2 linked regions of the Arabidopsis thaliana genome follow. The protein of the gene in region 1 interacts with the protein of each later gene in a pairwise test. Each region holds a gene or a part of one and is shown on either strand. Other genes may lie near its edges.

Region 1 (4,071 bases):
CAATGTTCTTATTATCAGATGCATACGTTCTATGTTAGTCTTCTGTTTTTGGCTATTCAAGTATGCAGGGAAGAGAAACTTTGACGGTCCCGTGGTAGGAAGAGTGTTTTATGTTATTCAGTATGTGTTTGAAACATATATCAAACCCAAGAATGGAGTCTATAAGGATGGTGGCAAGTCGAGCCAATGGGAACAGTTCAAAACGTTTTCCTATCAATTTTCTTTTGGAGTCAGAGTTTTGGCTCGCATTGTTTCAATTCTTGAAATCGGTGGCTTAGTGAAACCGTCTGGTTTTAAACACTACAACCAAGAGCTTAAGAAGCTAGAGGAGCATTTGAGATCTGTCAAGGATGTATCGGAGGCGAATGGGTTTGCGAGAGAAGCTATAGAGTCTAGCATTTTTCACTTGTGGAAGTCTCTGTTTGAAGCAACACCAGAAATGATACACCCTAGTAAGACTAAAGTTCTTGAGCTGTTTTAGGCCTCTTTTGAACGAAGCAAGTCTCGAAACTTGCTCTCGACATCTTACTTCTTTAGGCATATGAATCCGCTTTAACATTTGCTCGACGAGAAATCAAACATTTTGTGCCAGAGTTGTTTTTTCTTTCTAAATAAATACTTCAAAGACAGTAGTTATGAGTAGAAGAAGATTGTTGTATCAAGTGACTTAAAAGACTTCTTTAAGTTCTGTCAAACTCTAGATCGGATAAGATCACGTCTGATAATGTTTCTTGGTAAGTTATTCCAATGATTTGCATTGCATCGAGATAAAGCTTGCATATATGGAATGCCTTTGTTACAATTTATTTTAATTCAAAATCTTTATTGATTAGTCCATTTTATAACATTAACAAATAACTAGCCATAATCTTGCTGACAAAGTACTTTGTTGGTTTGTCAACCCAAATTAACAGAGTAATTTCTTAGCTCGGCGAGTGCGGCTACAATTGGTAGAGAAGGTTGAATGAAATTGCCGAGGCAGAAAGCATGATTTAGCCGTCGCTACTCGCTGAGGCAGAACCGAGCTTACAAACAGTTTTTGGAAACTGGACGCTAATCTTGCTTTTGCTTGTGAATAACGTCTACTGAACAAGCCTCGTCTATGTATCAAATTTCACTTCAATCGTTGGAGATTTGTCAAGAAGAGAACTTAGCTCAGTAACATAGCTTCCTAAGTCGGCTGTGACATTAACACCTGAACAAGAACCTGAAACAGAACAAGAGTCGGGCCCTTCTTCTCCACTCTTCTCTTCCCCTTGTTTCGTAGTCAAAGTTTCATAGAACTGCTTCATTGCGACTTCCGTCGAAAGAGCATGCACAGAACTGTGTAATTTCTGAAACTTCTCTCTAGTTTCTTGTTCATCGATAAGCTTTTCTCTAAACTCAACCGGGAGGAAAGCCAGCGCACTTCAAAAAGAGTCAAAACAGAAAATGTATAACTTACTACTACTCGATAAGCTTCATCGGATATGTAACACATCGCAACAGACTTGTAATTACCTAGAAACACCTCTAACAATACCAAACTTGTAACCAGCAAGAACTGATTCCTTATAGCCAAAGTTATAACCTTCCTGCGCAATAGCTTCTTTCCCGACAACAATCCCATCACGATATCCAGCCTACGATTTCGATTTACCATTAAAAAAAAAACAGACATGGAGAAAATTGAACAAACATTTTACACTGAGAGAATGATAAAGCAAAAAAGAATACCGAGTGGAATTTCACACGTCTCTGCTCATTCTCATTGTCCAACACGCGAGCTTCACTATAATCTTCATCTGAACTTCCGTAAAAGGGATCATCTAAATTCTCAAGACCATGATCTTTATTACCTAAACCAAAAGATAGTTCTTATCAGAGAGACATGGAAAGCAAAAACTTAGCAATACAATGCTCTAAGCCTAAACAATCTGAGCAAACAAAAGACCTCAACTAAACTATCAGAAACAAATTTGTAAGAGTTCTAATCAGAAAAGCAAAAACTTTGTCAATTGTCACTAAGTTTATGACCTATGAAAGTAAAGAGTCCTCACTAAGTTTCGAAATCTGCAAACTTTCTCCATAAAGCTCTTTGGCGAAATTAACCTTCCCATCTGTATATCATTGACAATCATCAACATAAACAAAGCTTTCAAGTCATTAAATTTGAGTGGGGAATATCATCGAACACTTGGTGGGTGATTTATGAAACTTATGAAATCACAAATAGTATCGTAGTAAAAGAACCTTCAGGCGGCTCCATTAGTTCTACAGAGACGACTTCGAGATAATGGTTTGACCAAATGGTTTTGAGAGAACAGAAAGAACCAGAAGGAAGATGACGATCGTCGATGCCCACAACCACAAAGGTCACATACACAGGTTTCCGATTTTTTTCTTCGAAAAAGACAATTCCTAATTTTTGTTTTGTCGTTTAGTGAGTTATGAGGCCCAAGTTCAGCCCACTTAGCAGATTTTTTTGTTTTTGTTTTTTGGTTGGGTCAACGCACTTAGCAAATCTAAGTCAAAAGATTAGATTTGTTAATAGTCTAATAAACATAAACCAATCATGCTTTGAGTTAATTTTAAAACTTCAAATCCAACAAATTCTTCTTCCAAATAAAAATCAAAATCTATTTATAATTTTGGCAAATATATTGTAATGGTCTAATGGGCATTTTCATAATTATCTACAATCATAATTTTTGGATTTTATTTTTAATTTTTGGATTTTAAATAAATAAATTTAAAAAAGAGCAAAATTAACAATACATTGTTTCCTTTTTGACACTTATATTTTCAGATTTAATTAAACAAGAATATTACATTTATCTCTAATAACAACAAAAGATACAAATTTAAATAACATTTAATTGATGTTACAAAAAAAAGTACTAATTATCTCCTCTCCCACAAGATTATATTATTTAACATTACTAATACAAGACACAAATAATAAGAATGTCTCTAACGGCTAACGTGCACTGGAATGCTCTGCTCGTACCGGAAAATGTTGTCCGGATCAACTCTAGTCTTAACCTGAACCAACCTCTCGAAGTTATTCTTAAAATACTTAACTCCATACACTTTACCTTCCTCGTACGTTGAGTTCAAGTTCTTCCCAATGTCAATATCTCTGTAGTTCAAAAACGCTTCTCTTGGATTCTTAGACACGTAAGGGCTCATTGCCTCGAACACTCTTTCCGTTTGGCTCAAGCAATCGCTAGCCGCTTCTTCACCTGGCACGAACCAGTTAGATGAGTACTGAATCTTAAACATGTTCCCTGCTCGGTGAGGAAACGCCGTCTCTGTCGCCGGAATCTCGCTCATTCTCCCGCCGTATGGGTTCCAAGCCATCGACACGTTCTCGTTCTCTGAAAGAATCTTGAATATCGATTCTAGACCGGGTTTTGAGATCGGTTTCTGCACGTAATCGGATTTTCTTTTAAGGTAGATTTGCTTTTGTGGGATTCGGTTTAGCATGACCGATGTTGGTGCTGTACCCGGTGGGATACTAAGCCAGAACAGAACTGATTCGATCCATTTCATTTCTATGCACTCTGTTTTGTTCAGACCGAGTTCCGGGAATTTGGCGTTCATAATCTCTAGAAGCTTCTCGGAGTTTCCTAAGTACATTCCCATGAAAGAAGCCTTGACCGTCTTGTTACTTGAGCTCAACGTTAATCTTATGAACAAATCGTTATCGATCTTGTCGGCGATCTCTTGCCATTTCGCTGCAAGATCGGTAGGGATTACTCCTCTGTTTCCGATTGTTTCAACGTTAAAGACTGTAACTTTCTCCGGGACAGGAACTAGCTTGATCTTCCAAGCTAAGACAACACAGAAGCTAGCGGCTCCACCGCCTCGTAAGGCCCAGAAAAGATCTTCTCCCATGGAACTCCGGTCCAAGACTCTTGCGTTAGCATCAACAATCTTAGCGTCTATAATGTTATCAATCGATAAACCGTATTTCCTCATCATGTTTCCGTAACCTCCACCGCTAAAATGCCCACCAGCACCGAGACCGGGACAGATTCCAGCGGGGAAACCACGGAGGTTGTTGCTTTTATTGGCAACGTTGTAGTA
Region 2 (4,596 bases), on another chromosome or scaffold:
ATAATTACAAGTACAACTCTTGATTTTATATTGGGATACAGGGATAATAGTATAGGTTTGATTGGTGATTATCAACCGCAGTTTTTTTTCTTGTCATCATTTCAACTGCAATTTGGGATCCAAAAAACAACCAATTGTAAATACTTCACATTGGTGGGTGAGAATAAAAGTGTCAACTTCATTTTCCATCTCTTTATCTATCTAATCAAAGAATTCTATCAACTCAATGATGAAGAAACTTCAACTTTGCATGTCTTGAGAAAAAAAGATATTCCAGCATATCAATGTCGAATCATGTGATTTGAAAGGATAAAAGTATATTGCTCACAAAATTTCTAAGTGTTTTCGCGGAAAATAATAATAATATATGCGATTCTATTCTTTTCTTTGTCAATTGTTCCAAAAATACATTACGAAATTTTACGGTAGAGCACCACAAAAAAAAACGATATTGCTCAATAAAACATTCACATCAAGAAGTTATTGCTCAATAAAAAAAAATTGTTTTGTAATAAAAAAAACTTTTCTTTTAATATATTTTTATTTTTGTAACTGTGAGGTTCAACCATAAATTTTTTTTTTATTAAAACCAATAAATATAGCTTAAATCTCTTTCAAACTTTTTTACATATGTGACTAACCATCAGTGACAATTCGAATTTAATATTACTCACGGTCTAGCAGATGTGTTATAAATTTTGAAATCAATTATAATTTTACAAATTATATCAAACTTGGACTTTGAGTATGTCTCTATTTGCCTTAAATGATCAAATATTACATAAACAAAAAAACTTGAAATTAAGGTTATTAATAAATAATTTAATATTTATTTTTGAATTTTGGTGGATTTAGAAAGAATAAAAGTATTTTTTCTGGGAAAATATGCATATTTATATTATTTGAATTGAGTATAGTAAACTAAGGGTGTTAAATGAAAAACAAATTGTTGTATGTACAAATTGACTTCATTTGGTCAATGAAAGAAAGTTGCAGTGTTGGGGGATAAGTATTGAGCGGCGGCTAAAATACTAAAGATTTTCTAATATTGCCATAAAAGATATTTTTTGTAACTTTCTATTTGTCACGGCACTGATTTTTTCAAAACTCCCATGACACAGCTGTCTTTACCCCATAATATATTGAACGTAAAGTAACTTCTTTGACCAATTGACCATGCTTAGTTGCTTACGTTGTTTATACAAAAGATTCATTGTTGGAAGTATAAGTAGCAGTAATATTACATCGTAGGTTGTTTTCTCTCATTAACATCGTCTCTAGGTGACTAGAAGAACGATCCTTTGTGTGTGAACTCGTGAGCAGAATCTAAACGAAAATTATATAAAGCTTAGAATTCATTAGAAAAAAGTGACATACCAAGAAACCCGAAAATGGGGAAGTTAATTTCATTTGAACAAAAAAAAACATTGTAGTTTTGTAATAAAAGGGTTGACATGGTCTTAATGTGGAAGAAGTAAAGAGGCTCACGAAAAGTCCATGTTGTCTACAAAGGAAGAAACAAGAACCAATAGAATTAGAGTTCAAACCAAAGGACGAAGTATGCAAGTTAATTTGACAAGCTAATATCCTAAGAATGAAGACATGGTCTAACTTTGAAACAGCAGCCACTAGTGTCCTATAAATACATAGAGTTCATTAACCTCTCATAATATCTCACAATCAAAGTTCTATCTCCTCAAGTATCAATACATTGATATCCATTAAAAAAAAGAAATATCAATACATTGCTTTGCTTGTTCTGTAAGATGCAAATGGACAGCCCCAAATCTCCTCTCCAGCCCCCGACCTATGGAAACTTAGTTACAATCCTCAGCATCGACGGTGGTGGCATTAGAGGGCTAATCCCTGCCGTTATCCTTGGTTTTCTCGAGTCCGAACTCCAGGTATATATGTGCTACCTAACTATACAAATATTATGTTTGTAAAATTATATTTTCTTAACTCATATATATACATGGATGCATAGAAATTGGATGGAGAAGAAGCAAGGCTTGCAGACTACTTTGATGTAATAGCGGGAACAAGCACCGGTGGTCTAGTGACAGCCATGCTCACCGCGCCTAATAAGGAAGGCCGACCCTTATTTGCAGCGTCTGAAATTAAAGATTTCTATCTTGAGCAATGTCCGAAGATCTTCCCTCAAGATCATTTCCCATTCTCAGCCGCCAAAAAACTCGTGAAGTCCTTGACTGGTCCTAAATATGACGGTAAATACCTTCATCAGCTTATCCACGCTAAGTTGGGTGATACAAAGTTGAGTCAAACACTTACCAACGTTGTCATTCCAACGTTCGATATCAAGCATCTTCAACCTACTATCTTTAGTAGTTATGAGGTTTGTTTATAGCTTGTTCTATTTGTGAAATTACAATATAATAATTAACAAAACTTTGGTTTAATATATATATGACTATTTTATAGGTAAAAAACCATCCTCTCAAGGACGCAACCCTCGCAGACATTGCCATCTCAACTTCAGCTGCCCCTACATACTTGCCTGCCCATTTCTTCAAAGTTGAAGATTTAAACGGAAACGCTAAAGAATACAATCTTATTGATGGTGGAGTTGCAGCTAACAACCCGGTAAATTTCTAAATATTGGATTTATCATTTATGTAGCAATAGGGTTTTTATACGAAGAATATAATATATCAACAATTATTATGGACTTAAATTGAATAATTATAACATGAACACACAATGTTAGACTATATTTCATTTTTTACTATGGAATTTCTTATAATAATCGATACGAGTTTTCTGTAAAAATCTTGAATAGATCATGATATAGTTGTTATATGTCAAGTATAGGCTTTGTTGGCCATTGGGGAAGTAACAAATGAGATCTCAGGAGGAAGCAGTGACTTTTTCCCAATAAGACCAAATGATTACGGAAGGTTTCTTGTGCTTTCGCTTGGAACCGGAAATCATAAAGCCGAAGAGAAATTCAATGCAAAAGAAGTAGCTGGTTGGGGACTATTGAATTGGTTAACACACGACAACTCTACACCTATCATTGATGCTTTCTCGCAAGCTAGCTCCGACATGGTTGATTTCCATCTCTCTGCCGTTTTTCGAGCTCTTCATTCCGAAGCCAACTATATTCGCATCCAGGTATCAAAATCAGCTAGCGCACTAACCATTTCTTTTTCTTTGTCTCCACAATTCCTAAGATTTGGGTATTAATTATATAGGATGACACATTAACTGGGGATGCTGCTTCTGTTGATATCGCTACCGTCGAGAATCTGGACATTCTTGCCAAGACAGGAGATGAACTACTTAAAAAACCTGTTGCAAGAGTCAACCTAGACTCGGGTTGTAACGAAAATGCTTATGAAACGACTAATGAACATGCTCTTATAAAGTAAGTGGCCCAATTTTTGCATTTTATAGCTTTATTCTTTCATACTTAAGGTGATTAAAAGTATTTTGCTAATATATTTAAATTTTGGTTGTGAAGGTTAGCAGGAATACTTTCAAAAGAAAAGAAGATCCGAGACATTCGTTCACCTCATGCAAAAGCTCCAATTAGGATCTAAAGAGATCAATTATTGTATCTTGTATATTGTTGATGATTCGTTTGTTTCACTAATGCACGTTTGGATTTATATTAATAAAAAGGTTGCACCACATTGTGGTCACTTGTACGTTTGAATAAAGTCAATAAATATTTAATGGATGGAAATGCTCTAAAATGTTTGGTCATTTTTCAACATACATTATACTAATAGAATAATGGCGAATAATACATAGACACGTACGTACTGAAACCAAAGTTATCTCAACTAATCTAATTATCTAAGCCTTTTTTTTATGGCTTATCAACTAATCTAAGCATAATGTAAATATAAAAAAAACTATTTATTTTTTACATCTGCCCTATTTAGGCTAGTTATGAAATAATTAATGGCATGACATGTAAATAATAACAAAATTAAGGGTGTTTGGTTTTCCAATGTTTGTCGATTAGGCTGAAAGCGAGAAATCAAAGTGAAGGCAGCGTCTATCTTGGTCGTCGGAATCCATGGCTTCTCTTCTCAGGCCAACTCCATTACTCTCTACACCTCGTAAGCTCACTCACTCTCATCTTCACACATCTATCTCTTTCCCATTCCAAATCTCAACTCAGAGAAAGCCACAAAAGCATCTTCTCAATCTATGTCGTTCGACACCAACACCGTCACAACAAAAGGCCTCACAGAGGAAGAGAACAAGGTACAGGAAACAATACCCAGGAGAAAACATTGGTATAACTGAGGAAATGAGATTCGTCGCCATGAGATTACGCAATGTTAATGGTAAAAAATTAGATCTTTCTGAAGATAAAACTGACACCGAGAAGGAAGAAGAAGAAGAAGAAGAAGACGATGATGATGATGATGAAGTAAAGGAAGAGACTTGGAAGCCTAGCAAAGAAGGGTTTCTTAAGTACTTAGTTGATAGCAAGCTTGTCTTCGATACTATTGAACGAATTGTTGACGAATCTGAGAATGTGTCTTGTAAGAACCCTACTTTGGTCTCGAATTTGACAGTTTGGTAATGATTTGGGTTAATGGGGTTTGTGTTCAATGT

Evidence for each region.
Region 2: the proteins of AT1G34570 (region 1) and PLA2A interact in a two-hybrid assay, tested with the Arabidopsis thaliana proteins (one large-scale study listed by BioGRID).

What each region holds. Positions count from the first base shown.
Region 1 is NC_003070.9:12,654,197-12,658,267, forward strand, and holds AT1G34570 (Essential protein Yae1, N-terminal), read right to left. Parts: upstream 2,410-4,071; 5' UTR 2,249-2,409; coding exon 2,233-2,248; intron 2,100-2,232; coding exon 2,040-2,099; intron 1,839-2,039; coding exon 1,717-1,838; intron 1,623-1,716; coding exon 1,501-1,622; intron 1,408-1,500; coding exon 1,101-1,407; 3' UTR 731-1,100; downstream 1-730. Other genes in the region: AT1G34560 (hypothetical protein (DUF1184)), read left to right, coding at 1-26, 122-481; AT1G34575 (FAD-binding Berberine family protein), read right to left, coding at 2,953-4,071.
Region 2 is NC_003071.7:11,292,879-11,297,474, reverse strand, and holds PLA2A (phospholipase A 2A), read left to right. Parts: upstream 1-1,556; 5' UTR 1,557-1,766; coding exon 1,767-1,904; intron 1,905-1,987; coding exon 1,988-2,356; intron 2,357-2,442; coding exon 2,443-2,604; intron 2,605-2,832; coding exon 2,833-3,135; intron 3,136-3,215; coding exon 3,216-3,388; intron 3,389-3,484; coding exon 3,485-3,563; 3' UTR 3,564-3,773; downstream 3,774-4,596. Other genes in the region: HO2 (heme oxygenase 2), read left to right, coding at 4,049-4,523. UniProt on the Arabidopsis thaliana protein: Possesses non-specific lipolytic acyl hydrolase (LAH) activity.